3 linked regions of the Sus scrofa genome follow. The protein of the gene in region 2 purifies or fractionates together with the protein of the main gene of each other region. This does not show direct contact. Links are inferred from orthologs where the notes say so. Each region holds a gene or a part of one and is shown on either strand. Other genes may lie near its edges. The genes, in order: ATP2A1, PLN and ATP2A2.

The links.
Region 1: the proteins of PLN (region 2) and ATP2A1 purify together in Homo sapiens (affinity purification with western blotting, with the first as the bait; 3 studies listed by BioGRID). This does not show direct contact. The link is inferred for Sus scrofa from reciprocal best matches to the Homo sapiens genes PLN and ATP2A1.
Region 3: the proteins of PLN (region 2) and ATP2A2 purify together in Homo sapiens (affinity purification with western blotting; 4 studies listed by BioGRID). This does not show direct contact. The link is inferred for Sus scrofa from reciprocal best matches to the Homo sapiens genes PLN and ATP2A2.

The regions. Positions count from the first base shown.
Region 1 is NC_010445.4:18,556,665-18,567,319, reverse strand, and holds part of ATP2A1 (sarcoplasmic/endoplasmic reticulum calcium ATPase 1), read right to left. Parts: intron 8,074-10,655; coding exon 7,985-8,073; intron 7,425-7,984; coding exon 7,322-7,424; intron 7,067-7,321; coding exon 6,935-7,066; intron 4,057-6,934; coding exon 3,934-4,056; intron 3,806-3,933; coding exon 3,587-3,805; intron 2,393-3,586; coding exon 2,057-2,392; intron 1,579-2,056; coding exon 1,358-1,578; intron 1,252-1,357; coding exon 1,049-1,251; intron 858-1,048; coding exon 772-857; intron 677-771; coding exon 543-676; intron 410-542; coding exon 292-409; intron 149-291; coding exon 31-148; intron 1-30. UniProt on the Homo sapiens protein: Key regulator of striated muscle performance by acting as the major Ca(2+) ATPase responsible for the reuptake of cytosolic Ca(2+) into the sarcoplasmic reticulum.
Region 2 is NC_010443.5:43,445,379-43,456,162, reverse strand, and holds the end of PLN (cardiac phospholamban), read left to right. Parts: intron 1-6,148; 5' UTR 6,149-6,246; coding exon 6,247-6,405; 3' UTR 6,406-6,809; downstream 6,810-10,784. UniProt on the Homo sapiens protein: Reversibly inhibits the activity of ATP2A2/SERCA2 in cardiac sarcoplasmic reticulum by decreasing the apparent affinity of the ATPase for Ca(2+).
Region 3 is NC_010456.5:31,677,740-31,688,523, forward strand, and holds part of ATP2A2 (sarcoplasmic/endoplasmic reticulum calcium ATPase 2), read left to right. Parts: intron 1-7,285; coding exon 7,286-7,390; intron 7,391-10,784.

The sequences.
Region 1 (10,655 bases), on a different chromosome or scaffold from region 2:
GCCAGGGTTCCCAGGAGGGGAGTCTCTCACCCTCTAGATAGTTCCGCGCAACGAACTTGAGGATCTCGTCGAGCCCGATGACTGGTAAGGAAATCTTAAGAACCATGAGCCAGTGGGCCAGGTCCAGGGCCTGGAGCTTGAAGATCATCTGGGAGGAGGCGGGAAGGAGCCAGTGAGGAGGAGCCGGAGGACCCCCAGCCCCCCCCCTCGGGCAGCACCTCTGGGCGCGGACCCCTGCGGAGGGGCCCGTGTGGGTGGGGAGCAGGCCACCCTGGCTGGAAGGAGGCTCACCGGCAGAGGGTCCACGTACAGGATGAGGAAGTGGAGGGACATGGAGAGGCCGATGGAGCCCACCAGCCAGATGTTGACCCAGGGCGGCATCCGCATGAGGGACTGGTTCTCAGACAGGCTGCGGGGTCGGAGGGGAGGTGGGATGGGGCCGGGGGTGGAGACACGAGGAGAGAGATGGGGTGAGCAGGGAGAGGAGGGCCCCCGCAGGACAGAGGGCGTGGCCTTCAGGAGGCGAGGGGGTGGGGGCCCACCTGTTGAGAGCATTGCACATCTCGATGGTGACCAGCACAGACAAGGCCATGGTCATGGGCTGGGGGGCCTCGAAGACCTCACAGTCCACACCCTCAAAGTCGGGGTTGTGCTCTCCGCACTTCATGAAGTGAGTCTGCAGGGGGAGGGAGGGTGAGCTGGGGTCCTTGCAGGAGCCTCCCAACCACCCCCCCCCCCGCTCCCCCCACTCCCTCCTCTGCCCTGCCCTACCAGCTGGCTGTAGGTGACATGAGGGCCATCGTCAGCGTACAGGAACCACCAGGCTGCTGCCCCCACAGTGGCTGCACCCACGTAGCCTGTGGTGGAGAGAAGATGGGAGTTGGGGGGGCAGGGCTGGGGGGATGGGAGGAGTCGAGAGGGCCTCGTGGACAGCTGGTGGAGGAAGAGCCCCCCCCCCTGCCAAGGTGGCTGCGGTGGACAGGCTGGTGTCCCACAGAGGCGATCGTCCCCAGGGCTGGGAAGGAGCGTGGGGTCCCATCCGGCTCACCCCCAATTGCCATGTAGCGGAAGAAGAGCCAGCCACTGATGAGGGGCTCTTTGGGGCTCCGGGGGGGCCGGTCCATGATGTCGAGGTCTGGAGGGTTGAAGCCCAAGGCTGTGGCCGGGAGCCCGTCCGTCACCAGGTTCACCCACAGCAGCTGCACGGGGATCAAGGCCTCAGGCAGCCCCAGGGCAGCTGTCAGGAAGATGCTGCCAGAAGGAGGCGGTCACATGTCTGTCCTGGATCCCGGGCCTGCGGTCACCCCTCCCTCCACCAGCCCCGGGTTCCTCCTGGATGGCCGGCCCAGCTGCTCACCAGACCACCTCGCCCACGTTGGAAGAGATGAGGTAGCGGATGAACTGCTTCATGTTGTTGTAGATGGCGCGGCCCTCCTCCACCGCGGCCACGATGGTGGAGAAGTTGTCGTCCGCCAGCACCATCTCGGAGGCTGTCTTGGCCACGGCAGTGCCGGATCCCATGGCAATGCCGATCTCGGCCTTCTTCAGGGCGGGGGCGTCATTGACACCGTCACCTGTCTGTGGGGAGAGAGAGAAGGTGGGACGCAGCCCCTTCCGCAAATCCCACTTAAGACGCTTCTTTTTTTGTCTTTTTGCCTTTTCTAGGGCTGCTCCCACAGCATATGGAGATTCCCAGGCTAGGGTCTAATCGGATCTGTAGCCGCCGGCCTATGCCAGAGCCACAGCAACGTGGGATCCGAGCCATGTCTGTGACCCACACCACAGCTCACGGCAATGCCAGATCCTTCACCCACTGAGCAAGGCCAGAGATCGAACCCGCAACTTCATGGTTCCTAGTCGGATTCATTAACCACTGAGTCATGATGGGAACTCCCGAGACTTTTCATCAGAACCGAATCCTTCCTCTCTGTGCCCCTTGCTAAGGCCCCTGCTCAGGCCTGTCCTCCCGGGGTCCCCAGCTCCCCAAGGCGGTCAGCTCTCCGGACACTAAGCAGACCACCCCACGCCAGACCCCCATGTACTCCGGTTTTCTCACCATGGCCGTGATCTCATCATAGGACTGCAGATACTCCACGATCTTGGACTTGTGGGAGGGCTCCACGCGGGCGAAGCAGCAGGCGCGCCGGCAGGCCTCCCGCTGCTCAGGCAGGGGCAGGTCGTCGAACTCCCGTCCAGTGTAGGCTCGGTCGGCCACATCCTCGTTCTCCCCAAAGATGCCAATTCGTCGGCAGATGGCAATGGCCGTGCCCTTGTTGTCCCCTGTGATCATGATCACCCGGATGCCAGCATCGCGGCACAGCTGGATGGAGCCCGTGACCTCCTTGCGGGGCGGGTCCAGCATGCCCACCACACCCACGAATGTCAGGTCCGTCTGGGGAGGGAGCGGAGAGCGACAGGGTGGGGGAGGAAGGCTGGGGGAGCTGGGGCAGCGGGGGTGGGTGGGGGGGAAGCTGTCCCTGGGCCAGGTGTTCAAGCTTCAGTGGGGCTTCGAACGAGGGCAGCAAATGTGCCTTGTTCACAGATAGACCTGCAGGCCTGGCGGCACCAGGCCCGTCACAGGTGGCAGAGCGGGTCTTTCATAGAAAGAACTCGAGCTGGAAGTGGGGGAGGTGGTTTCTGCTTCCAACAAGGCCACTCCCTTGGTCTACACCTTTGAGCCAATCTATGTCACTGTCAGGCCATACTGCTGCTTCTATAAAATGTGGACTTTGGTGCTCTGCAGAGAGCAGGTCCACTACGAGATAAAGAGCTGGTGCCAGAAGGTCGATGCAACTATTTCTTTCCTTTTTTTGGCTTTTTTTTAGGGCTGTACCCGAGGCATATGGAGGTGCCCAGGCTAGGAGGTGCCCAGCCTACCCCACAGCCACAGCAATGTGGCATCCAAGCCACATCTGCGACCGATATCACAGCTCACGGCAATGTTAGATCCTTAACCCATTGAGCCAGGCCAAAGATAACCCGTGTCCTCATGGATGCTAATCTGGGTTCATTACCGCTGAGCCACAAGGGGAACTCCCCAATGCGTGTCTTAAGAAAACCTCACTGTCAGAGTTCCCGTCGTGGTGCAGTGGTTAACGAATCCGATTAGGAACCATGAGGTTTTGGGTTCGATCCCTGGCCTTGCTCAGTGGGTTAAGGATCCGGCATTGCCGTGAGCTGTGGTGTAGGTCACAGACACAGCTCGGATCCCTTGTTGCTGTGGTTGTGGTGTAGGCCGGTGGCTACAGTTCCAATTAGACCCCTAGCCCGGGAACCTCCATATGCCGCGGGTGCTGCCCTAGAAAAGGCAAAAAAAAAAAAAAAAAAAAGACAAAAAAGAGAAAACCTCACTGTGGAAACACAGCAGCGGCACCTAGTCACATGGCTGACTTCCATCCTGGCACGAGCACCTCCCTTCATCTCAGACAGGTCTACGGACCACACACAAAGTAGCCCTGGACTAGGTGATGCCTAAAGTTCTTTCAAACTCAAACGGCCTGTGACTCAAAGGAGGAAATGACAGGGGTGCTGGTGGAGGGGGTGAGGCGGGTGCCTCGGAGGCCTCGGGAGGCTTCCATGTGCTCACCTCGTACTCCATGAACCTGGCAGAGTCATCCAGGACCATGTCCTCTCGCTTTGGGGGGGTGTCGCGGGTGGCCAGGGCCAGGCAGCGCAGGGTGTCCCGGCCAGTGCCCCACTCCTTGATCACCGACAGAATCCTCTCCTTCACCGGCCCTGTCATCGGCACCCGGGTGGTACCAACCCGCACGTAGTTACAGCGCTCGATGACCCCCTCGGGAGCGCCCTGGGAGAACGGGACACAGTCCTCAGAGACTACGTGCCTTCGAGCGCACAGTGTCGGGGGAGCAGGGATAAGACAGGGGTTTGGGGTTAGGAGGAAGGGGGGGTCCGAGGCACGCTCGGATTTCTGACCTTGACAAACATCTTGTTGCCCACAGCAGCCCGGGATTTAGCTGGAGAGCAATAGACGGACATGGACTTTCTGTCCCGGGAGAACTCCAGTGTGAATTCCTTCTTCATTAGCTGGCGAATCACCTGGGAGAGTGGAGACAGGGAGGGAGAGGCCAGACATGAGACATGAGACCGGTGGGGAAAGAGCAATGATGCTGTGTTGGAAGGGAAGAGTTCCAGACCCCTTCAAACACAGTCGAAAAGGATCCGGAGGTCAGAGTGGACCCCAAGTTAAGTCTGAGATAAAGCTAAGTCTGGCACCTACAGCAGAAATGAAGAACATTCCAAGGCTAGGGCTGGCTGTCACTGTCTTACGGTGTCCAATTAAAAGCACAATAGAAACAGAAGGATGTGGAGTTCCTGTCGTGGCTCAGTGGAAGCGAATCTGACTAGGATCCATGAGGACGCAGGTTCGATCCCTGGCCTTGCTCAGTGGGTTAAGGATCCGGCGTTACTGTGAGCTGTGGTGTGGGTCACAGTTGTGGTTCGGATCCTGCATTGCTGTGGCTGTGGTGTAGGCTGGCGGCTGTAACTGATTTGACCCCAGCCTCCATATGCTGTGAGTATGGCCCTCAAAAGCAAAAGAAAGAAAGAAAGAAACAGGATGATGTAACATGGTACTGTCCAGTAGAACCATCCGTGGTGGGATGTTTTAATATTCTGGATGGTCCAATATGGTGTATGGAGCCCAGGAAAAGTGAGTTTTTACTTTTATTAAATAACTTAAATGTAAACAATCACGGGTATGCTTCTACAGACGGGGGTTGTTAAACCATGGACCTGGTGCCTGGTACGCAGTAATAAACACTCCATAAAGATGAATGTACCAAATGTATGCTGGATGTTTCTCCACAAAATAAAACAAAAACAATAAATAAAAATAAGGTGGGAGTTCCCACTGTGGCTCAGCAGATTAAGAACTTCACTAGGATCCATGAGGATGCAGATTCGATCCCTGGCCTCGCTCAATAGGTTAAGGATCCTCTGTGGCCACAGCCCCAGGGTAGGTCACAGATGCAGCTCGAAGCCATGGTGCTGTGGCTGTGGTGCAGGCCTGTACCTGAAGCTTTGACACAACCCCTGGCCTGGGAACTTCCATATGCCACAGGTGCAAAAAAAATAAAAATTAAAAAATAAGGTAATGTTTATATTATTTGTAAATTTTAAAAATGAATCCTTGGAGTTCCCGTCGTGACACAGTGGTTAACGAATCCGACTAGGAACCATGAGGTTGAGGGTTCGATCCTTGGCCTTGCTCAGTGGGTTAAGGATCCGGCGTTGCCGTGAGCTGAGGTGTAGGTTTGCAGACGCAGCTCGGATCTGCATTGCTATGGTTCTGGCGTAGGCCTGCGGCTACAGCTCTGATTCGACCCCTAGCCTGGGAACCTCCATATGCCGTGGGAGCGGCCCAAGAAATGGCAAAAAGACAAAAAAAAAAAAAAGAATCCTTTAGTGATAGATATTTAAGTTATTTTCATTGTTTTTGTTTCATTAAACAAAGCAGCAATGAGCATCTTGCATATACCAAAAAGAAAAAGGAATGAGCAATGTGGAGAATATAAGGTAAACCCCAAAGGGGTTTAGTATGGACATTCAAAAATATTAGTAGCAAAAACTTAGGGAGATAGTCACATTCAGAACTGAGCTTGTTCATCGGAATAAGGGAACGCAGAGGCATGTGCAACAGTCACATTTCCCAAATCCCACATCAGGTCTTGAGATCTGATCAAAACAAGTGTGTTTTCTCTGGTGTAGGCCGGTGGTTACGGCTCCCATTCGACCCCTAGCCTGGGAACTTCCATATGCCACAGGAGCGGCCAGAGAAATTGCAAAAAAGTCAAAAAAAAAACACCAAACACAAGTGTATTTCTAGTTTCAAGTGTGTTTCTACGGGTCAGAGTTGAAACTGGGGCTGCTCCAGGATGGGTCACTTGTGGTTTCTGTGTCCAGCTCCATCCTCCATCCCTTTCAATGAGGGAACCAACAGGAATACTCCTTTTTTTTTTTTTTTTGGCCTTTTCTAGGGCCACACCCATGGCATTTGGAGGTTCCAGGCTAGGGGTCTGATCAGAGCTGTAGCCGCCAGCCTATGCCAGAGCCACAGCAATGCAGGATCCGAGCTGCACGTGCAATCTACACCACAGCTCACGGCAACGCCAGATAGGAATACTCTTTTTTATTTATTTTTTTTTTAGGGCCACACATGCCCAGCATATGGAAGTTGCCAGGCTAGGGATTGAATTAGGGCTGCAGCTGCTAGCCTACACCACAGCCATTGCAACACCAGATTCAAGACACATTTGGTTGTTTTTGTTTTTTGTTTTTTGTTTTTTTTTTTTGTCTTTTGTCTTTTGAGGGCTGCACCTGCGGCATATGGAAGTTCCCAGGCTAGGGGTCCAATGGGAGCTGAAGCCGCCAACTTACACCACAGCCACAGCAACGCCAGATCCGAGCTACGCCTCTGACCTACACCACAGCTCATGGCAACATTGGATCCTTAACCCACTGAGCAAGGCCAGGGATTGAACCTGCGTCCTCATGGATGCTCGTTGGGTTTGCTAACCCATGAGCCTTGCCGGGAACTCCCAAGACGCATTTGTAACCTACGCTGCAGCTTGCGCCCATGCTGCATCCTTAACCTATTGAGTGAGGCCAGGGACTGAACCTGCCTCATGGATACTAGTCGGGTTTTTAACCCACTGAGCCACAACGGGAACTCCTGGAAAAGTCATCTTCCATTCATTCAGGGCTGCTGCAGCTGGGCCCCAGGAAGAGCAGTACAGGTGCAGGGGTAGGAGCCAACACAAAGTCAGCCAAGGAGCACACTGGAGAGGCCGCCTGCCTATGCTGGGGCCAGATGGGTGCAGGGGAAAGGGGTGGTGTTTCCTGAAGTTCCTTAGGTCCTGGCCTGGGCAGCGTGGGGGTGGAGAAGGCCTGCAGGGAGGAGGGAGCCCAGACTCACCGAGTTGCAGGCGTTGGCCCTCTCCACCTTCGAGAGGTTTCTCACGTCGGTATTGAATACGTTCATCTTCTCCACCAGGGTGGTGAGCGCTGTCTCAGTGGCCTCACCCACCTTCTCATACACACCTTTGGCCTGGAGAGGGCAGAGGAAGAAGAGGATGTAAATGCCCGGGGTCCTCCTGGCCCCTCGATCCCACCCCATCGCCCGCCTTCCACCTAGAAGGGGAAGGGAGCCAGCCGCCGTCGTCCCCTGACACCCAGGAGAGGGCTTGGTGCAAAGGACACCTTTCCCCTGCCCCCTGCCTTGTGGCCTGCGGAGGAGGCCTGGATGCGGAGGCAGCTGGAGGGGGAAGGAGGGGCGGCCTCGGGAGCAGAGAGGAGAGGTTACCTCGTTGAAGTCCAAGGAGGAGTCATTGCAGAGGGCACAAATGGTGGCCAGCTCCACCAGGCCATCATACTGCCCTGCCCGGACTGGCTTATCATTCTTCAAGCTGGCGGCAGGGCCGGGGGAAGGAAGGGAAAGAGACAGGTGGAGAAGAGAGGGAATGAGATGCAGAGAGAACCCAGGGAGCGCCACCAGGGACGGTGCGGGAGATGGCCACCCATTGGGAGATAAGTGGGAGAGAGAAGGAGGTCAGGGAAGGAACAGGAGAGAAACAGGAAGGCAAACTAGAGGGAGTCTGGGCGTTCTCATGGGGGCGCCATGGAAACGAATCTGACTAGGAACCATGAGGTTGCGGGTTCGATCCCCGGCCTCGCTCAGTGGGTTAAGGATCCGGCGTTGCCGTGAGCTGTGGGGTAGGTCGCAGACACAGCTTGGATCCCGTGTGCCTGTGGCTGTGCTGTAGGCTGGTGGCTACAGCTCCGATTCAACCCCTAGCCTGGGAATCTCCATAGGCCGCGGATGCGGCCCTAAAAAACCAAAAAAAAAAAAAAAAACCAAACAAACTAGAGGGAGGCGCCCCCCAACCCCCAACAAAGAGGAGGTGTATGTGTGAGGGGGAGGGGCACGAGGAACTGGGATGAGGATGATGACTCTGGGGGCACTTACACCTCTCCTTCTGGAGCGTAAGTGGAGCCGGTGATGGAGAACTCGTTCAGAAGGCAGATGTCCCCTTCCACCTTGTCGATGACAAACATCTGCAGAAGAGAAGGGCAGGCACGCGGAGGTCTAACTGTGCCCATCCTTGAAGGCAGGCTGCAGCCTGGGGAGGCCCGAGCCCCGAGCGCGCCTCTGTCCGGCCCTCTGCGCGGACTTAGCCAACTTCCCACCCTCATCCCCCCACTGGTCCTTCCCTTTTCCTCCTGCACCCTCCCCTTTCCCACCGCACCCCTGCAATTAGTCTCCCCTGTGCGAGTGGCCTCAAAAGTTACTGCAGGTCAAGGTTCGAGCCCTGGCCTCGCTCAGTGGGTCAAGGATCTGGCGTTGCTGTGGCTGTGGCATAGGCTGGCAGCTGTGGCCTGGGAACTTCCACAGGCCTCGGGTACAGCCCTAAAAAAAAAAAAAAAAAAAAAAAAAAAGGAAGACCTATTTCAGAGTTCCTGTCATGGCTCAGTGGAAACAAATCTGACTAGCATCCGTAACAATGTGGGTTCAATCCCTGGCCTTGCTAAGTGGGTTAAGGATCCGGTGTTGCCATGAGCTGCGGTGTAGGTCACAAACCCAGCTCAGATCCTGAGTAGCTGTGGCTGTGGTGTAGGCCAGCGGTTACCTCACCGATTGGACCTCTATCCTGGGAACTGCCATATGCCGTGGGCATGGCCGTAAAAAGACACACACAGATACACACACACAAAAAAATGTTACTGCAGGTCCTGCTGGAGGTTCCATCAGGTCAGCTGGTAAAGTAAGACGTGCACCATAAGGCGTAGTGGGGACTGTGGCCACCAGTCCACCTGTGAGCACATGGCCCATCTACAGCCCCAGCCTCTGTGCCCAGATCTTCCAGTTTTGTAGGAAGAACTAGAAATTCTGGTTATTTTCCTATGCAATCACTTGACGTTTCAAATGTGGGTGATTCATTGATTCCTATGAAACATGACAGGAGCCTAGGAGTCTGGCTTTGAAGCCAATGCTTTGGAGGGATGTTGATCGCACCACGCAGAGGGGAGCAGCCCTCTGAACCAGAGCAGGTGTGGGGCCTTAGGACGTGTTCCAAGACAAAAGGCTTCTGCGGCCAGGTCATTTGGGGAAACTCTGGGTTAAACAAAGTGAAATCCACCCTCTCTATGAAGGGTCAGCCTTCCCTGAGGCTTTCAAATGCCAAGAGGCATGGGGGTCTCCCCAGGGGTACATCCTTTCTTGGCCTGATCTGACAGCACAGCCCCTGATTCTCAGAACAGCAGTTTCTATTCATCGGATAAAAGTCCCCCAAAGTCTGTTTAGGGCAAGGCTCTTTGCCTGGGGTCCATGGAGGATCCCCCACCCCCTCCCCGCACTGGACCAAGGGATCTGTAAACTTTGACGGCCAAACAAAAATGAGGAGTTCCTGTCGTGGCGCAGTGGAAACGAATCCAATTAGGAACCATGAGGTGGCAGGTTCGATCCCTGGCCTCGCTCAGTGGGTTAAGGATCCGGGGTTGCCGTGAGCTGTGGTGTAGGTCGAAGACACGGCTTGGATCTGGCATTGGGCTGTGGCTGTGCTGTAGGCCGGCAGCTGTAGCTCCAATTCGACCCCTAACCTGGGAACCTCCATATGCTGCAGGGGCGGGCCTAAAAGGACAAAAGACAAAAAAAAAAAAAAAAAAAAAAAATGACACCTTGTCTTTTCTCTCTGACAGTAAACATTTCCTCCCACTTTATGAATGTGGACAATGGACCACATTAGTATTAGCAAAACCTGTGACTTGGCCACCAATATAATCACACATAGTCTCCTCTCACGTTGCATGGTTGCAGAGCTCTCAAAATAGCATTTACGCTCATCGCAGCTTTAGCGTTATGGCAATTCTGAGCTCCACGGCTGGACTTGCCACTTACTGCATTAATAAAGAAGCATAACGCACAAGTCACAGGTCTCTTTTTAAATTATTTCGATGGCTGGTATTTCTTTCTTTTCTTTTTTTTTTTTTTGTCTTTTTGCCATTTTCTTGGGCCGCTCTCATGGCATATGGAGTTCCCAGGCTAGGGGTCGAATCGGAGCTGTAGCCACCAGCCTACGCCCGAGCCACAGCAACGCGGGATCCGAGCCGCGTCTGCAACCTACACCACAGCTCATGGCAACGCTGGATCATTAACCCATTGAGCAAGGGCAGGGATCGAACCTGCAACCTTATGGTTCCTAGTTGGATTCGTTAACCACTGCGCCACGACAGGAACTCCAATGGCTGGTATTTCGATCATGGGTTTCTGATGTCATTTAAAAAGAGAATCCTGAGAGTTTTAGGTTATACATTAAATATATGAAATGTAGAGGTCCGGATGGCCAAAGGCGCCAAAGCACTGAAAGATGAACAGCCCTGGTTAAGGAGTTCCCGTTGTGGCTCAGTGGGCTAAGAATCAGACTGGTATCCATGAGGATGCAGGTTCCATCCCTTGCCTTGCTCAGGGGGTTAAGGATCTGGCGTTGCCGCCAAGTGCAGCGTAGGTTGCAGAGACAGCTTGGATCCGGCATTGCCCTGGCTGTGGTGGAGGCTCCAGCTGCAGCTTTGATTCGACCCCTAGCCTGGGAACCTCCATATGCCACAGTGTAGCCCTAAAAAAAAAAATAATAAATAAATAA
Region 2 (10,784 bases):
GGTTAATTTCCCCTCAAAACTTTTCATAAATACCACAGTTCTATATTTTATTCCAATTTCATGTTAAAACTTTAGCTTTCCTCAATTTTATTTCTGACCTCTTCACATTCTACCATTTAAAATATTCAACCTCATTTGTTTAAAGGGGCTTGAAGAGAGAAATACTCCTTTATTTACGTTATGAAAAACACTAACTTTCATCTAAACTGTGAATTAACACAGTGGTGATCATACCAGCAAAGGAGGAAACCTAAAGGTTAGAAATCAAGGAAGTGATGCTTCCAAACTGCAGTGACCTAAATCAGATATGTAGTCTCTCTGAACATTTCTAGAAACAGTACATCACTGTTCTTACCCTACATAATTCTGAAGGATGTATGACCAAATAAACACATAAAAATGAGGCATGGGTGTAGAGCGCTTCCCCAGCACACTTGTAGTCAACTGAGGACCTCTAGTGCTTTTTAAAATGTATTCCACCTTCAGGTCTTTTTTTAAAAAAAAAAAAAAAAAAAAAAAAGGACCAACTCACATTGTGGGGAGGGAAAGGGATATTTAACTGGCACTCATTGTCCTTAAAATTTCCCCTATACTTCTTCCCCAGATGCTTTTCCTCCCAAAGAAGAATCTGAAGTCTCAACTACTAAAATGCTAAAAAGAATATTTTAATTGCAAGTAAATTTATTTTAACATGATAAACAGATAATGAAAGCAAGCCTACAACAAAATAGCAACAGCAATGTGCCAATTTCAAAGAGAAATCTCTAAGCTGCTCTTTAATGAATTTCCTTAAAGGCAGAGCTTTAAACTGAGGGAAATATTTCATTACGGGATCAATTAAGGGGTTAAAAATATGTTGACTTCTATGTTTACACAATTCTCTTCACAACCAGGCAGAAGCAGCCTGAAGATTCTTTCATATAGCCAGTGTGGACCAACAAAGCTTTGGAATGTTGCTGTCACAAAATATCTTCCAATATAACTTCCAAGTTTAGCTAGCATTAGGTAATCTCAAAAGGAAAACGATGCTACCAAAGTGAAGTTTTGGATACTAGCAGACTGATGACAAACCTACTGTCCTGACCTAATTCAACAAATCCCACCCCCCACCGCAGCGACCAAAAAGATGCATACATAATCGCTTCTGGATTATCTGCAAAAAATAACAGCAAAGAATAGGAAAAAATAAAACTCCCAAATAATCTTAATTAGATAAATCCTGTAAAATCAAGTCTACAGAGAATTCTAATCTTCTGAATCAATTTAATGGAAAGAAATTTCAAAAAGTCATCTGTCAGACTATAGTCTTGGATGTGTACTACTTGAATTTACTGGCAAAATACACGGATGTTCACTAAAATAATAAACAGACAAAAACTAAATGGAAACAAAATTCTGAATGCCACAGACAGAATCTCAGGAATTTGTTTCAACAGAAATGAACTTCAGAAAGTTCTACAAAGCCCTGAAAGTGCTTAAATTACAGGTGGGGGTTACTGCTCAGCACATACAACATCGTTAAGGTATCAATTGTCTTATCAGGTCATAAAGTGACACCAAAGTTTTCAAATGTCTAGTGAGGTTCCTTTTGCACAACAATGTCTCTGATGTTATGTTAAGAAACAGAACTCACTGCAGACAAAGTGAGGACTACTGCAGAGGCTGACAAGGTACTTCCACCCCAAATGTGCCTACCATGGCACATGATAATTACTGAGGGATTAGAGTTGCCTGTGGTTTGTCCTTCGCCTTCTTCCACTTTGAAAAACAGAATACTAGCTGGAACTTAATTGTATCTACTTCCCAATTTCACCTTTTTGAGCAAAAAAAGGAAGGGTGGACATCCAAAGGCTTTATAAATCCTACAAAGAATAGTAAAGAGTTATTCTTCCCATCCCTCTGAAAATGAGAATAATCATAGTTCCCAGAGACATACAAGATACTCTGTGAGGACTTCCTGACGTCTCCATGTCACTGGCATTTCTACAGCCAAATTCCTACCCAAGTATCTTTCATATTTTCACTATTCTGATTCTAGGGCTTGGATGGTGAATTAATTTTCGAAAAGTACCCTTACTCCTCTTATCCTAAATACCTAATTTACACATATTGCTATCCTTTTAAGAGAGGAAGATAAGGCTAATTTCAGTCTCCACTGTTTGTTTAGGCCAGACGCAGGTTCAGAACATCTCAACACAATCTATTTCTGATTACCCAAAGCAATGCTCTAAGAGATTAGATAAAATGAAAATAAAGTGAAACTATTTTTCTAGGCTCTCTATCAAATACTACTGTATTAACAGCTTGGCTCTAAGAAAGGATTAAAAAAAAAGACTGCTGAAGTTCTAAAAAAAAAAAGTTCTAAACTCATGGGATGGTTGTTGAGTGAAGAGAAAAAAAATGATAAATATCTGACAACCATGCCGTATTTTATGATGTTGTGAAGGTCAAAGACAACTCTAAAAATAGGACTGTGCTATTCCCACACACAGCTTTTGAATTCTCAACATAAGACAGGAAGCCCCATCTTTTGTATGGATGAATTTTGGCTTAATTATTATCACACAGATTTTGTAAGCTCAACAGAATTAGGGCTCCACACATTTTAGATTGTATCACTGTACAATAAATTGGGACCAATAAATTGTATGCATACAGCTAACATTTCAGCATGTAAAGCAGATTTGTTTTGGTTTTAGCACAAGGTTATAAAGTGACTACAAATCACTTTAGAATTATATTTCTAAGTCTGACGGAAAACAAGACACTATCTTTGGCTGTCTCCTTTATACTTATTTTGTCTCCAGGAACAAACTGTCCTTTTCCCACAACAGTTGGCTGTTTTTAAGTATTATGAGATCATCTAAAGTATATTCATTATAGGAGTTAACATTGTGGCTCAGCGGTAATGAACCTGATTAGTGTCCATGAGGATGCGGGTTTGATCCCTGGCCCCACTCAGTGGGTGAAGATCTGGCATTGCCCTGAGCTGTGGTATAGGTCACAGACACGGCTCGGATCCTCTGTTGCTGTGGCTGTAGCCTGGGAACTTCCATGTGCCACGTGCGTGGTCCTTAAAAAAAATTTTTTTTAATTTCAAATAAATTATATTCATTATACATTCATTATTAGAGAGCTCTTATCCTTAGTGTACCTCTTTGTAATTCACAAACACCAAGTACCCATTTGTACAAAGCTTAGGCCAGGTTAATGTTGTTAATCATTAACAACAATTTAAGTTTCAATTCCCTAAGGTAAATCCTCTAAGCCTCATTTTCCTCATCTGTAAAATAAAGAGACTTAAGAACATTGGAAACTATGTGTTTAACTATCAAATTATATTATTTAAATGGTTAATTTGTGAATCACAACACTCTGATCATTAGCAATTTTCTAAAAATATTAAAGTAAATCATAAAAATCGCTTAGTCAACTTCACTGATTTATTCAAATGGTACCAATTTTGTACTAGGTACTAGAATACAAAATAAACACATGGTTCCTTATGTTTATGAACCAGAAGTCTAGTTGGGGTCACAGGCATATAAATCAAAATTATAGCATCGCCTAATGGCCATGTTTTGATATAGGTCTACTAAAAACCAGCAGAGGTGATAATCAATTCTGCCTTAAGAAGTCATGGAAGGTTTCATCAGGAACTGAGCCTTAAAGATTAACTAAAGTTCGCCTGGCAAAGAATCAAAGGTAGAGGCAGGGGGAAGGGAGACATTCCAGGCAACGCCAGAACAACATGTGCAAAAGGCAGAATCATAAAAGGGAATGAGGTATTTATGGAAAGGTGACATGTTTCATGTGACTAAAGTACCACTCATCAGCGTCAGGATAGGGAATGACTCCTATATGTGCTTCATGATGAACAACCGGCCTGCTCTTCCTTTTCCATGTTTTATCTCAGAATAGTTTTAAAATTCAGATCTTTTATACTATTTAAGTCCTAAAACCTCACAAAAATTAAGTTTAAACAGGAATTATCAATGATTCTCTACTGCCTCCTAAACTATATTATACTTTTTGAAGTATAGTTGATTTACAGGGTTGTGATAAATTCTGCTGTGCAACAAAGTGACTCAGCCATTCATATACACACATCCATTCTCCTTCAGATTCTTTTCCCACATAGATTATCACAGACTTCCAGGTAGAGTTCTCCGTGCTATACAGCAGGTCCCTGCAAACTGTACTTAATTATACAACTCATGTAAAGAGACTAGTCAAATATATACAGTAATAAGGAAAATCCTCTTTGTAATTATCTAACAGTAAAAATTCACTGTATCTACAACAAGCAAATCCAAGCCAAAACAACTTAAAGGGTGCATTTTCTTAAAGAACAAAACTCCTTTATTTCAATAGTACTTTAAGAATTCAAACTAAAGTAATTAAATATATACCAAGCTTAAGCTGACAGTTTCTAAGGTGATAACGTTACAGATAAATTAAGTAATGGCCATGAAGAATATATGCTAGAGAAACATAAGCTGTACCAACTCTTTGAAAGAATGACGTCTAGTTCGTTGTTCGGATCTCCTCACCACAGGTCAATACCATGAAAGAGACCAGAGTCCCCAGAGAAATGAAAGCTCAGTCCAATATATAATTCAAATCTTAATACAGCCAAATTGAAGCACTGAAACTACAAAATCTAACGACCATATACCACATGGTTTCTTTGTAACAAAAATTGGGAAGTTCTGACTGACCAGCCTGATACATATCTTCTTTCTCATTCTTTCAGTTCTTCCCTCTGCTATCTTTAGCACTAGTCTCTCTCAGAAACAGAACTATAGGTTGAGATGGGTTTTCTTGAGATGTGAAGCCACTAGGGAAAAAATGAAATTAGGCAGCTGGAGTAAGGTGGTAAAATCTTAATTAGCAGTGATATATCAACAAATGTTAATAACAGTTATCTCTGGGTAGTTAATAATGGTTATTTTTAAAATTTCATTTCCAACTTTTCTTGTTTCAAAATTCACATTAGAAGTATCCTTAATGACAACAAAACATCTCCAAAAGTTAACTGTTACTATCTCTGGGCAGTTAATTTATGGCTAATTTTTAATCTATATCCAATTTTCTACAATGATGCATTAAGTCCTGGGTTTTTTTATTAGCACAGATAATTATCAGGCACCAATTAATCAGATGGTTTTGTAGAAGAGCTTGTGGGAGCTCTGAAAGAATGCAAATGGAAACGCTGTTCTTAAGTACAGGTCCTCTGAAAATAACAATTATCTGTGGTAGATAGGAAGACAATGACAGTTTTATTTACTATGCCTTCTGAGTCTGAAAATCTTCAGTACTTAATACGGTCTTATTAAAATGTTACTTTAAATAGCATATCCAAAAAGCTATAAAACTGTAAAAAGGAATGGCAAACATTTCAATCTATAATTCTGATAAAATACTTCCCATTTAATGATTTTATTTTGGACTGAAATCAACATCCAGAGAAAATTTATTACATGTATTTCTTTTATATGTATATTTGCTAAATTTATTAGTAAAATGAATAGAAAACATTCATAATTTGATTTCTTCTTAAAAAATTATCTGTGATTGCTTCAGAAAATCTATACTAAAATCTCAAAACATGTAGATGTGAATAAATGTAAACTCTTCAAATGCGCTTTATTTTTACATCTTATTCCAGAAATGCTCAGAAATAAAAAGAATATCTCTTTGAAACAGTATCTAATGTCATACTTAAATGCACTCATTTCTTTTTATTAGATTGCTCTGGAGCCATTAATACACTAATGTTCACAACAATTATGCTCATAGAGAAACGGTCTTAATGAAACTGTATGTAAGAACTTGCCTAAGGGAACAGCCCAAAACAAGCTGCCCCCTAAACTAAACTATACATCTAGTCATTCTGAGAGAAGGAGGCAAGAACTGAAGTTACTGCACTCCAAACAGAAAACATCATTGTGACCATAACCAAAAAAGACAGGTTCTCAGAAAGAGACAGGCAGATGGACAAAGCCACACATAGACTATTGAGATACTGGATGTCATAAATACAAATAATGTAGAGAATGAGGGATTACACAAAACTGTTTTACCTGTTCAGAAAATAAGTTATTATACATATGATCCTAATCCATCTACTATTTTTACATTCCAGGCTGCCTAAAAGAAGACAGTGATCTCATATTTGGCTGGTAGCTTTTTCAGCTTTCTCTTGACGGCTTAAAACTTCAGGCTTCCTGCCTTCCTGGTATCATGGATAAAGTCCAATACCTCACTCGCTCTGCTATTAGAAGAGCTTCAACCATTGAAATGCCTCAACAAGCACGTCAAAACCTTCAGAACCTATTTATCAATTTCTGTCTCATCTTAATATGCCTCTTGCTGATTTGCATCATCGTGATGCTTCTCTGAAGTTCTGCCACAATCTCCAGTGCTACAATTTATCACCATCAGCTTAAAATCTGTCATCCCATGAAGAAGGGAAACAATACTATATAAGAGACCACTTCCTCAGCAGAAAGTTCTTTATGAAAAGGTCAAGATTTGGAATGAAACAAATTGTTAGCAAATGTATTCATCTGCTGGATCTTGTAAACATGAAAAGGGCTTTATTTTCAGAAACTAACTTTAAAATGACTATAAGTGTGCATAATGCAACTGTTGATTTTCTCAACAGAGCTTATAAATTTCTATCCCAAATCTTTTCTGAGGATGAACTAGGGGTTTAGTTTGGAAACTGCACTGCTAACTAGTTCACGTCATATATAAAGCATTAGCTTCACTCTTTGGGGTAAATATAATTTATACTGTACTGTAAAAGCCTCTTTGATGTTTATTAAGTATTTTTCAGGTCTTCACCAAGTGTACCAAAATAATCATTCAAATGAACTATCATTTGAAATAGCCCACTGACTCCTCACATCTGCTGTCTTTATTATCATCACACAGAATCTCTAGTGGTATCAGAACCTACATTCTAAAAGAGAACTTGTATTCTTTTCTCTATACTACACTAATATTTTAAAAAATTTATGAGAATCAAGTAGGAAAAAGACCATATCCTTACATAAACAAAATTTCTCTTAACCATTTTTCTCAAAGAATTATAGAATTCTAGTACATATAGGTAAAACTATAAATCTGTTCTCTATACACAAGAACTGCTGGTTAATTTAACATGTGACATTGTGATTAGCCATAATTACTAATACACTAATAGAATAGAATCTACCTTAATTTAAGGCACAATAGATAATTATCTGAGTTAGAACACATAACTTGCCACACTTTATCTCTGGAATCATGAAATCTTAAGAAGACATTAGAGTGATTTTATAGGTTACCTTCTATTCTAATTTCACCCACAATGTAGACAAGGGAAAGAATAAAAAATATTATTTCAAGCATTAAAAATAAAATTTGAAATATCTCTCCAGAATTAACAAATTCTTTGATTAAATTTTGAAACGAACTTTTGTCATTACTGTTCATGATAGGATATAGCTATTTTCCTTAATCTAACAACCAAATGGTAAACACCTATTTGGTAGGCCACTGTACTATGCTAAATTACAGATACAGCTATGCTAATCTACAATTATTTTTTTGCTAAATACATTTCCAATTTTCCCTCTGATCATTTAAAAATAACTTCCAACAATTCATAAAACAAAAGAAGTAAAAAAACTGGTTTGGGAAATACATTCACCAAAATTTAGTGAATTAAATTGAGTCAGTTTAAAACTGAGTCTAAAATGGTTTACATCTATACTGTATAATTCAATAATTTTAAGTTCAAGATATATAAGCAATATAATAATTATTGGGGAAGTAGAGAATGTGCAATTTATTATACGGTTTGCTAAAGTATGGTTACTAAAAGAATTGGAAAAGTCAATATTGACCTTGGTTTTCAACATAAGTGCTGCTAACAAAGGAAATAATGCTTTTAAGTTTTTTCTGAATCCCTGGATGGATGAGGATAATTTTGGATTGCTGATATTTAAGGAACAGAGGGAAAAGGGGTTTCACACTGATAGAGGGATTTCTTGAGCAAAGCCTCATCTATGGGTTGAAAATCCTATTAGCAACTAGAAGAGTTTATAAGCAATAAATGAGACAACTGCTTTACTGGTGGCAGTAATTCCCCATGTAAAAAGTAACCAATTCTATAATTAGTGTAATGACCTTAAAATAAATGGAAAATTTGAAATAATAAGTTCTACCCTTTTCATTACATTGCTCATTACAATATCAACTTAAAGCTATAAACTGTGAAAGTTATGGAGTTTTCCCTAAGTCAAACAGAAATAGTTTTTTTTGTTTTTGTTTTTCATTCTGCCTTTAATAGAAATTAAAACCTTACACTTGAGAATTACAGAATACTATAACTCAGATTATACTGTAAAATAAAACCTATTCTTTAGATGGAACTTATTCTGTTTACCAGGATGTATAAAGAGTAAAATACAATAAACTATGTATTTAAAAAATTTTAAATACCAAATGCGCAAATACTTTCTACTATAGAATAAATCCTAATATTACTGTGCAGGGTACCAACTATGAGCTAATTTTAAATGTTTAATGTCGCCTTCTACGTTTTATTTGGTTCAAAATGTTTATTTAACGCAAATCACCTACATTAAAAAGAAACTTCCTGAACCCAGTGAATTCACTCATGATTGATATGACCATAAAACAATCTAATTATAAGCAGTTTTGATTTTGTAGGCTGTTTTCTGTGACTTTTCCCTAAATAAAATAAGATCAGGATTTCCTAGTACAGACACAAGAGGGCAGACCTACATAAATTAATGAATTTCCTACTACATAGAAATTACATATCCTTGGATTACTTCTGAGTCTTCTGGCAAAGTGAGAAAATTTCAAAAAAAGTTAAGCTTTTCTGCTAAGTAACAGCACTTAAAAATGTCTAAAAATTATATACTAATACTATATAGAAAAGATGACATTAAAAAAGTTAAACATTAATGATTTTATTAAAACATGTTTTAAAAAATCAATTCTATGCTTTTTAGTTACCTAGTTAATGTATCATAATGTCATATCCTATCTATTGACAGTGTCACAGTGTCCACACCTTTCAATGCAGTTATGCTATATTATCTTAAACAGTAAAAAAAATCAATTAATTAAAAACAACACAGGGTGCAAAAATAAAAATAAGAAAACTTTCTTTTCAGAGGATGTAGTAGTATACATAAACTACCCTCACATTAAAAATAGAACCTTTTCAAATTGAAACTACAATGAGGTACCAACTCACACCAGTCAGAATGGCCATCATTAGTAAATCCACAAAAAATAAATGCTGAAGAGGGGGTGGAGAAAAGGGAACCCTCCTAAACTGCTGGTGGGAATGTAAATTGGTATAACTACTATGGAAAGAAGTATGGAGGTTCCTCAGAAAATTAAATATAGAACTACCCTATGATCCAGCAATCCCACTCCTAGGCATACATTCAGACAAAACTTCCACTGAAAAAGATACATGCACCTCTATGTTCATAGCAGCACTACGCACAATAGCCAAGACATGGAAACAATCTAAATGTCATTGACAGATGAATGGATTAAGACGTGGGACATGTATACAACGGAAAACTACCCAGCCATTAAAAAGAATGGAATAATGCTATTTGCAGCAACATGGATGCAACCAGAAATTCTCACACTAAGTCAGTCATAAAGAGAAAGAAAAACAGTATATGATATCACGTACATGTGGAATATCAAATGTGGCACAAATTAATCTATTTACAAAACAGAAAGAGACTCACAGACATAGAGGACAGACTTGTGGTTGCCAAGGGGGTGGAGGGACTGTGAGTTTGGGGTGAGTAGATACAAACTATTACATTTAGAATAGATAAGCAATGAGGTTCTACCATATAACACAGGGAACTAGATCCAGTCTCCTAGGATAGACAATGATAGAAGATAATATAAGAAAGGGAATGTGTACATATATATACGACTGGGTCACTTTGTTGCACAGCAGAAATTGGCACAACTCTATAAATCAACTATACTTTAATAAAAAAATAAACACTTTTTCATCCTTATGTCATGTTAGACGAAAACCAAGTCATTTAAGTCCTTCTACCAAATATTTATATTTTTGCTGTATGTAAGAGAAATCTTCCAGCAAAATATGTTGAAATCATTAGGTGCTAATAATATCCCGGCTGATCAAGGCCTTCCATGATTTAAATAAGCATAAAATTTTATCTTCCTATTTTAATGACTGCAACTCAGAACTCAGAAACATCCTATGGAATATGAAAAAAAAAAGAACTTCTTTGTAAATAAAGAGCCCAGTTCTTCACTCCTGGCTGGGAGATCCACTGTGAGCTTATAGGGATCCAATGGATACTCTTTGTGTGCAGAAATAGGCACCTTCCATTCCCTTCCTCCCCCAAGCCCCCACAAAAAAAAAAAAAAAAAAAAAAAAAAAAAAAAAAGGACATGCAAGAGGGGCCTGGAAAGGGAAATATTCTTTTCAAAGAGAAGACAAGACTTTGCTGTTTTTCTCTTTTGTCATAGTCCTTAAAAGTCAGACAGCTTTGGGAGAGGGTGGGAAAAGAACAGGTAATACAGAACAGAGGAAAGAACCAAAGACTTTTGGTGGACACTGTACACAAAGGACAAATCCTAACCAGCTGAGGGCATAGATGGTTTCTCTTCACTCACAGAGGAAAATGCTTCGCAGTTCACTATCTGCACTCCAGCTGATTTAGTAGGAAATCATGGGACTCAAGGAACAT
Region 3 (10,784 bases), on a different chromosome or scaffold from region 2:
TTTTTATGGAGTTATTCTGTGTGTGTAATTTAAGGCAGTGTTACAACATCAGTGGCATTATTTCCAGCAGACAAGCTATTGACTCTTTGGGTTGTATAGAAGCTCTTGAGTCAAGGCCAGTTTGAGTGATTTTATATTAATATTTTGAGATAATTACGTGATTTTTTTTTAAATTTTAAAGTAAGGAGCTTATAGTTTCTAGGCATTTTCAAGTGGGTTTTTAAATAAATGCTTTAATTTTGTTTTAAGGTAGGATGTTGGCTTTTTTAGCTTTATAGAGCTATATTTTGGAGTTGAAATTTGAGTTACCGTTTTGGTCACTATGCGGAGTTAACTGCTTAGGAAATGAAATATGTTACATTTTTATTTTGTGGGTTGCTAAATAGAAAAGTTTTAACTTTTATTGTTTAGGAAGTACACTTAATTTGCTTTGATTTATTTGATCAGGAAATTGTAGATATAAAACTTGTTTCTTTGATTTTCTTCATGTGGGGTTGGCACTATGGCTACATTGGACTTGACCTTTTCATTCCTCATTTCTTTATCTTTTAACAGAGCGCCAAGTCTTTTTTTATGGTAGTCGGTTTATTCCTATTCACTTAATAGGAAAAACGTGATAAAATAGGCATGTCCTTTTGGAGAATCAAATAGGCAGTTTTTATAATCTGTACACGAGGCACAAGAGGTTCTGCTCAAGTTAAGAAATACTAGGCTTTAGTGATTTATTTCAAATTCAAACAAGGTAGTAAACTGTTAACCATAGTTAATATTTTGCTGTGGCAGAAAGTAGGAAACAGCTTTAATGTTTTACACCTGTGACCTGTTGGGATGACGTTTAATTAACTTGTAATATTCACTGAAATAGGGTTGGGTTTTTTGTTCTTTTAAGGTCACTTGGATTGGAAGAAGTGAGCTAGATATTGCCATAGTTATTAAGTAATAGTAGAAATTCCTTAATTTGGTTTTCAGGACCTTCCTATCCTTTCACTTTGTCTTTCCTTGTTGGTCACCTTTGCCCTTCGTATAACACATCATGTGGTTGCTTAATTGGAATGCCTGTTCTTTTTTTTCTCTCTTCACTGCTTTGTTGGGTATTGAGCACCTCAGGTGCATGGCATGCATGCCCACTGGGAATACAGCATCAGTCAAAACAGACAACATCTCTTAACCTGGAGCTGATATTCTAGTGGAGACAAAAAAGTAAAATGTATAATAATCTGTTGGATTGGAGATAGTGCTCTGAGAAAAGTTAAGTGGAGAAGGAGGGTGGTGGTGGAATAGGGACAAATGGTGAAGGAGTACAGTTGTCAAATGGGACAGCCAGGAAAGGCATCTGAGGTGACATTTACTTGAAGAAAGTGAGCTCAAGGACCATATTTGTCTTATTTGTCTGAATCATGATCCTCTGTGGCAATGCAACTTGTGCGAGTTTCGCTACCCTCCACCCCCATTTCCCTACCTCAGCTATTCAGATTAACCCTAAAATACTAATAAAACTTTCCTAGACCAAGACACTTCTGAACTTTCGCTTACATTTGAATAATTTGTCTTTTCTTTCCACTGTACTCTTTGAACGGATTCTTAATTCCTTTTAGAGCCTAGGTTAGTGCTTTTGATATAACAAACATCTGGATGAGTTTGCGTCTGGCATTTTCGAAATACTGACAATCGTTTACTTTGGTTTTCTCAGATATTTTTGAGTATTTAATAATGTAGTGATTTTAAATTTTTCCTGTGTTTACTTTTAATTTATTTTAAAGGATAAAATGGGCAGTTAACTGGTTTATATAGAGCCTTTCTTTAAAATGTAATTTGGGGAGTTCCCATAGTGGCTCAGCAGAAATGAATCTGACTAGCAACCATGGAGGATGCGGGTTCAATCCCTGGACTTGCTCAGTGAGTAAAACGATCCGGCGTTGCTGCGAGCTCTGGTGTAGGTCACAGACGTGGCTTGGATCCTGCATTGCTGTGGTGTAGGCCAGCAGCTGTAGTGCCAGTTCAGCCCCCTAGCCCGGGAACTTCCATATGCCTTGGTTGCAGCCCTACAGAGCAAAAATATAATAATAATAAAATATAGTTTCGATGGTGAATGTGTATGGGGTTTTTTGGTTTGTTTTAAATTAAATTATATTCTCAAATCTGAAACACAAGCTTAGACATATGCTTTGTTTCTGGATCAGAAGAGAACGTATAGTCTAATTCATACTTTTCTTTTTTTAATAGCTGAAAGAATTTTTGTTTCTCAACCCAGAAAATTGCCATAACACTTACTGGTGGTATTTTTCTTGTGAAGTGTAATTTCTGCTTCCTCTTTTGAAAAAAATTTTTGATGTAAATTTTTTGTGTGTGTGTTTGAGTGCAAAGGCATTGCAAATTTTCTAAGGATACAAGGGGGGAATGCATACCTTATACATGTTTTAAGATCCTCGATCTTAAGAATGTACTTATGACCTCTCATATTCTTCTTATGGTCTTAAGAGCTCAGGACATTATCCTGACATGGAGATAACTGAGTCACGGTACCATGACTCTCTCCTAGTTTACACCAGAATAGGCCTTTTTACCTTGGATAAATTTTTTTTAATTCATTAAACTCAACTCCCTAGCATTTTTTGGCTGTACTGTCAGACGTTATCCTGATGTACAGAGATCAGTGTTAGGATAGGGTATCCTCTAATTATCATCTCTATCTGAAATAACCTAGCAAGTGGTTACTTTGAATAGGATTGACAAATTTGAAGTTTTGAACTTGCTGGATAATGTAAGCCCCAGAAGTACTGTTACTTTCTGTATTAACTATAAAGCAAAGAAAGAAAGAAACAATGTTTATGCCTAAAATTATACTGTAGTAGCCTTTCCTTCTACTTCTTTTTGAAATTGTTGAAGTTGGTTACCTTTTTGCTCTCTTAATGCTTAAGTTCGCATACTCCAGGTAGGGACTTAAACCTTAGACATTGTATGAGATTTTGTTTCATGCATTCATGCTTCAATTCAGTAAATGTATAGTGAGCATTAGTTAGGTACCAGATACTCTTCTAGGCCCCTGGGGATAGATTAGTAAACAAAAGGAAATACAAACAGATAATCCTTTATATTCAGCCTGCCCCCAATTTTTTTTAGAAACGTTCTTCCCTTCTTGTGTATTTTTTATAACTTCTAGTAAACCATAATTATGAACTGACTATAAATAAATGTTAATAAGACATAAAAAAAAAGAAGTTCCCCTCGTGGCGCAGTGGTTAACGAATATGACTAGGAACCATGAGGCTGTGGGTTCGATCCTTGGCCTTGCTCAGTGGGTTAACGATCCGGCGTTGCCATGAGCTGTGGTGTAGGTTGCAGATGCGGCTTGGATCTGGCGTTGCTTTGGCTGTGGTATAGGCCAGCAGCTACAGCTCCGATTTAGACCCCTAGCCTGGGAACCTCCATTATGCTGTGGGAGCAGTCCTAGAAAAAGGCCAAAAAAAAAAAACAAAAAAAAAAAAACCCAACATGTCACTCATCCAGTTTCCCTCATTTCTATTTACCCTTTCCCCATCTCATGGAGTCCTTTGAGGGGGGGTGCACCCACAGCATATGGAAGTTCCCAGGTTAGGGGTCAGATCAGTGCTGTAACTGCTGGCCACAGCCACAGCAACACCAGATATAAGCCATGTCTTCCACCTACACCACCACAACGCAGCTCATGGCAACAGCACCAGATCCTTAACCCACTGAGCGAGGCCAGGGATTGAACCTGCATCCTCATGGTTACTAGTCCGGTTCATTACCATTGTGCCACAACGGGAACTCGTGGAGTCTTTTGTTTGTCAGCATCATCTTCCCATTTACCCAAGAGAGGTTTTCTTTTCAGTAGGACAAAACCATGAAGGATTGTACAATGTGGTTTGAACATAATTCACTGGATTCGTTCTTAGCAGTAAGTGAAGTACAGTTGATCTTCAATTTGAGTTGTAGCATTTAATTCTTAAGGTTATTTGTGAGGTTTTGGGTTTTTTGTTTGTTTTTTATGGATGCACACACAGCACATGGACGTTCTCAGGCCAGGGACTGAATCCAAGCCACAGCTACAGCAGCGCTGGATCCTTTAACCCCCTGTGCCTTGCTGGGGATCAAACCTGAACCTCCACAGGGACCCGACCCACTGCAGTTGGATTCTTAACCAACTGCACCACAGCGGGAACTTGCATTTGTGGGTTTAAATATAGATAATTTTTGGAGTTCCCTAATGATCTCATGGTTAAGGATTTGGCCTTGTCACTGCTGTGGCTGGAGTTCTGTCCCAGGTCTGAGAACTTTTGTATGCTATGGGTGTGGCAAAAAAAAAAATTTGTTTTTATTTGTTTGTTTGTTTACTTTTTAGGGCTGCACCTGTGGCATGTGGAAGTTCCCAGGCTAGGGGTTGAGTTGGAGCTGCAGCTGCCAGCCTGCACCACAGCCACAGCAACATTGGATCTGAACTTTGCCCCCTACACCACAGCTTACAGCAATGTTGGGTCCTTAACCCACTGAGCGAGACCGGGAAGTGAACCCTCATCCTCATGGATACTAGTTGGGTTCATAATCCGATGATCCACAATGGGAATTCCAAGAAAAGGATTCTTCTTCTTTTTTTTTTTTTCCTGTCTTTTGTCTTTTGAGGGCCGCACCTGCAGCATATGGAGGTTCCCAGGCTAGGGGTCTAATCAGAGCTGTAGCTGCCCACCTACACCACAGCCATGCTAGATCCGAGCCATGTCTGCGACCTACGCCACAGCTCATGGAGGTGCTGGATCCTTAACCCACTGAGCGAGGCCAGGGATCGAACCCTCAACCTCATGGTTCCTAGTCAGATTTATTTCCATTGCACCATGATGGAAACTCCAGAAAAGGATTTTTTTTTTTTTTTTTTTTTTTTTTTTTTTTGGTCTTTCCTGGGGCCGCACTCGCAGCATATGTAGGTTCCCAGGCTAGGGGTTTAAGCAGAGGTGTAGCCGCCGACCTACACCACAGCCACAGCAACACCCAACCCTAGCCGCATCTTCCACCTACACCTCACAGCAACGCTGGATCCTTAACCTAATGAGCAAGGCCAGGGATCAAACCCACAACCTCATGGTTCCTAGTTGGATTCATTAACCCCTGTGCCACGATGGGAACTCCAGAAAAGGATGTTTTTTAAAGTAGTTAGAAAATTACTAGTTGTCAGTGTTTAATAGGTTCAGTTCTATCCTTCCAGGCTGAGAGATTTGTCCTCTAGTATCTCATCAAGCAGTAACTATACATTCAGTAATTCTACAGAACCTTCAAATAACTATGCATTCCTGTGTTTCTTACACATACACATTTTAAAATTCATATTGGAGGAGTTTTCCATTGTGACGAAGTGAGTTAAGAATCTGGTGTTGTGTGGTATAGGTCCCAGCTTTGGCTGAGATTTGATCCCTGTCCCTGAGAATTTGCTGCAAATGCAGCCAAAATAACAATAATGATAATAATGCAGTGGAAGAAAAGTCTACTACATTGTGCAGGTGAGGGTTATTGCATTATTGATGAATACCACTTGTGCAGATGAACCACACATTTCATGAAAAGTAGAGGTTTGCTTTGGTAATCCTGTCATGCTTGCCTTAGTCTTTTCCTTTGCTCTAGCTGGTAGGGGATATTGCTTTAAGTTTGTTCCTCAGGCTCAGCTGCCAAGAGGGAAATTCATACCCACTTTAACAAGGTGTGAAGCTTATCTTACAGTTGCTAATGCCTCACTGACCTTTTGAAAAGGTCTTAGTTATTCTTCAAGTTGAGCAATTTTTCTCCCCCAAGAGCTAATTAAGTTTCTTATTTCTGATATGCTCTCCTTGGCAAATATTTGGAAGGCTAGTGTCAAAGCAGCTGTGATCTTGCATCTATCAGTATTTATAACTTCCTAGAGAAGTTTTTATTCTGGCATTAGGCCTAGCCTTAACACCAGGAATGCCCTGTTGAAAGCTTTGAGCAACATTTATATTCATTCTGGTTTTCTGCCTGCCCTGGTTCATTAGCTGTTAGCAGTGATTGGCATCTATCAGGACCTAGTTCTTGTGTTTCCTGGTTTTTCTCCTGCTTAAATTGATCTTTCTTGTGTTGGTGGTATAGTCGTGAGCATACCTGCCCTCCAAGTTGATATTTCTTGTTAATTTATCATTATTCTCTTTTACTTCCAAAATTCAGGTTGGGCCTTGCCTTAATCATCTTTCTGGTTTGCTGTTTGTGTCAAAGCTCACTTTATAGTATTCTACTAAGTATAAAAGTAGTCAGATGGCTTCATTATTATTATAAATCATATCTGACAATATTAAAGAGTATCAAAAATGGTGCTTCCATTGTTTACTGAATAGATCTTTTAAAATATTTTATTGTGAAATATGCAAACATCCAAAGCAATGTTAAAAGGCAGAGGCACACACATCTTACCTCTCAGGTTGAATCCATTAGATATGTTTAACGTCTTTTCTGGATTGGCAGTTTCCCACAAAAATTGGTTGTTGAAATTTTAACCATTTATATGCCTCTTTTAACATGTTTTTTATTATTTTCAGATACACCGTGTTAAATTCTTTCTCACAATCTTAGGCTTGCTCAGTTATGAAGTACAGTGTGACTCTCAACTTGTAGCTTTTAAATCTGAAAGTTACAGTTGTGTGAGTTAGAAGTTAATTCTTTGTTCATTTTTCTTGGGACAGTGTTCTGGGCCCAGTTGTAACATTTTGGGGCTTTTATATCCTGAACTGTTGTATTGATACACTAGATGTCATAACCTTCAAGAGAGATTCCTGATCACAGAACAACCTTGCAGTAACACCACTGAAAATAAGTGGGACATTAACAGTTTATATATCTAATTTTGAGTCAATGGTCAAATTGTTTTTGCTATGAATTTATGCCATGTGAGCATTTATTTGATAGGAATGTTAATCAAATTAACAAAATTTGATTGCTTTTTACTTTAACAAAATCAGGAATGTTTTCTTTATACACATATAAAATGAATGGGGTTTAGTTCCCCAAAAGTACTTGTTTAGGATTTTAAAACAATTATTACATTAAAAAAGGCTCTTAAGGATATTATTAAGAAGTTTATAGTTTTGAGTCTTAAGAATTATTAGGAAAAAGATATGTGTTGTTTATGTCATTACATTTTGCTACCATTTGTTTCTAAGGATGGTAAGAAAAGAGATTTTTTTATCTTGTAATTGTTTCATGCCGGCCACTTTTGTTGTAAAAGCCTAAGAACATACCACAATTCTAATGTGTGCCATTTCTCTTACAGGTTTTGGCTTGGTTTGAAGAAGGCGAAGAAACAATTACAGCCTTTGTAGAACCCTTTGTAATTTTACTTATATTAGTAGCCAATGCAATTGTGGGTGTATGGCAGGTAAGAAAAGTTCCTTCAATGCTAAATTTTGATAATATGTAAGTATTTAAACTTTGTTAGTCTTTCTGTTATCTGTTTTTCCTGCTATGTTGACTAAAAATATCTGTGGAACTAGATGTGGTTTTTTTGCCTATTAGTTTATGTAGTGTCAGTTTTATCCCTCTCATGCATACATACTTTGCTGTTAAAATTGCTTATCCTTCATGGCAGCATGAAGTGGATGAGAGAAGCTACCTGGGTAAAATCAGAAAATTTGAGAACCAGTAGCTCCCATTGTGGCACAGCGGAAACGAATCCCACTAGGAAACATGAGGTTGTGAGTTCGATCCCTGGCCTCGCTCAAAGGGTTAAGGATTTGGTGTTGCTGTGGTGTAGGCCGGCGGCTGTAGCTCTGATTAGACCCCTAGCCTGGGAACTTCTTCCGTATGCCACAGGTGTGGCCCCAAAAAGACCAAAAAAAAAGAAAAAAGAAAATTTGAGAAGCATCATTTCTCTTTATGTTTCCTATGGAAGAACTTCACAAAGTCAGTATCGTTTTTATTGTCCATGAATTGTGTGGATGTGTGTGGATTTAGTTAAAAAATTAAGTCTTAAATTGTTTTACCTTCAAAGAATACTCTTGGTTGTTTTCCCTAAATTGCCCAGTGCCCAGACCTTTATTACTCACAGAATGGAAGCTAATTTTACTGCAGAAATACAACAGGATCATACCCCTGCCTCACATTCACATGATTGGTCTTCTGCAGATAGCTAGTTTGAGAATTTAGCTTTGCTAGGATTGTTCTATTGATTTGTTTGATGTTTGTTTTTGATATATTTTAACAGATTCAGTAATATGTCACATTCATTTTAAGTATTCATCTTTTAGGGTTTGATGGATATGTTCACTTCTTCTGGGACTAAAATCTCGTGCATCTGTCAGTCTTAGGGAAAACATCAACATACTTAGTCCTATTGGAATTGGAAACTTCTGATGTTATTAGTGAATGCGAAGGCCTTTATGTGGTGGGCTCATTTATGAGGATACCTACTTAGAAGAAAACTTTAATTGAACTGTATTCCTTACTTTGATTTTTTTAATTGCTTTTATTTAAGTAGAAATGATCTTTTTCTGAATAATTTAGGCAAAAGAAACAATACACAGCATTAGATTGTCCTTCTCAGTGTCCTATGCAGTTTTTAATTCGTTTATGTTAGTTACATGGTGCATGCTTTGTATACATTCCTATTTCATGTTTACAGTAATTTTCTTTTTTTTTTTTTAATTTTTTGTTCTCTTTATTTATTTATTTATTGTCTTTTTGCCTTTTCTAGGGCCACTCCCGTGGCATATGGAGATTCCCAGGCTCGGGGGTCTAATTGGAGCCATAGCCACCGGCCTACAACAGAGCCACAGCAACACGGGATCCGAGCCGTGTCTGCAACCTACACCACAGCTCACGGCAACGCCGGATCCTTAACCCACTGAACAAGGCCAGGGATCGAACCCACAGCCTCATGGTTCCTAGTCTAATTTGCTAACCACTGAGCCATGACGGGAACTCCTACAGTGATTTTCTAAAGCAGATGATATTACCATTTGACAGATGTGACATTGAGGTTCAGAGTGATGAATGTATCAAAGGACGTACAGGGAGTACATACATACACAGAGTATCTGGGATTTGCATCCAGGGCAGGCTGATCTGAATTCAGAAGTGAAATTTTAAAGCAGTTTTCACAAGACTTTTATGTTTGTCTTAGCTTGAAGAAAAGAATAACATTCTTATATCTTAATCCTGTTTACATAATATACAGAATGATATGATCAATACCAGAGGGTTCTTGCTTTCTGGAGGTAAGGAAACTTAAAAGTGTAAAGTGAGGAGTTAACGGGTCCGACTGGGAACCATGAGGTTTCAGGTTTGATCCCTGGCCTTGCTCAGTGGGTTGTGGTGTGGGTTGCAGACGCGGCTCGAATCTGGCGTTGTTGTGGCTCTGGTGTAGGCTAGTGGCTGCGGCTCAGATTGGACCCCTAGCCTGGGAACCTCCATGTGCCACGGGGGCAGCTCAAGAAAAGGCAAAAAGACACACACACAAAAAAGTGTAAAGTGATATTGGCGGCAGGGGGAAAGCTGACAAGCGATTGGGAGAACTATAGAGAAATGGTAGTTTTGTGGGTGGAGGCTGGGGAGGATATTCTAGAGAGGGGGTGGCATGAGCAGAAAGGTACAAAGTGTGTTTGAGGAATGACATTTTAGACCTATTTGGGTTTGAGTGAAGGAGGTAGGAGTTATAGCTTTTAGAACAAAGGAAACCTTAGAAGGTCTTCTAAGTAAGATGTACTTGTTTGTAGTAAGATACTTGTTTTTCCCCAAGCAGACTTTTTTGATGTAATCTATTTGAATCTATGATTATTTATCCCTTTTCACCCCTATACTGTAAATATTCCTTTTGATAGTTGGGGGGGTGCTTATTTTTGTTTCTCTCCTCTCTCGGCTGCACTCATGGCATCTGGAAGTATCTGGGCCACGAATTGAATCTGAGCTGCATCCTTGACTTATACCACAGCCTCGGCAATGCCAGATCCTTAACCCACTGCGCTGGGTTGGGGAACTTGAGGGGTGGGGTGGGGAGGGGCTTTTTAAAACTGATTTTAGTTGGCATCTTTGTCCTTGAGGTCTGAGATAATTTATCTTAATTTTATGCTTTTAATTTAAATGTACATTTGCCAATTTTTAGTAGAAGCAAAATGCAGTGCTCCGGGACATCATTTTTTTTTTTTTTTTTTTTTTGAAGTGTAGTTGATTTACAGTGTCGTGTTAATTTCTGCTGTATAGAAAAGTGATTCAGTTATACATATATATACTTCTTCATATTCTTTTCCATTATGGTTTATCGCAGGGTATTGAATATTGTTCTCTGTGCTATACAATAGGACCTTATTTGTATCCAGCCTATGTTTAATAGTTTACATCTGTTAATCCCAAACTCTCAATCCATCTCTCTCCCACCCCTCCCTCTTGGCAACCTCAAGTCTGTTCTCTGTGTCTAGGAGTCTGTTTCTGTTTTGTGGATAAATTCATTTGTACCATATTCTAAATCCCACATATAAGTGGTATCACATGGTATTTGTCTTTCTCTTTCTGACTTTATCTAGTATGATAATCTCTAGGTCCATCCATGTTGCTGCAAATGGCATTATTTTGTTCTTTATGGCTGAATGGTAGTCCACTGTATATATGTACTACATCTTTATCTGTTCATCTGTTATTGGACACTTAAGTTGCTTCCGTGTCTTGGCTGTTATAAATAGTGCTGCTATGAACATAGGGGTACATGTATATTTTTCTTTTTCGACAGTGATAAAATACATTTTTATTTACTTTGTGGAGTCAGGGAATTTTGGGGAAAA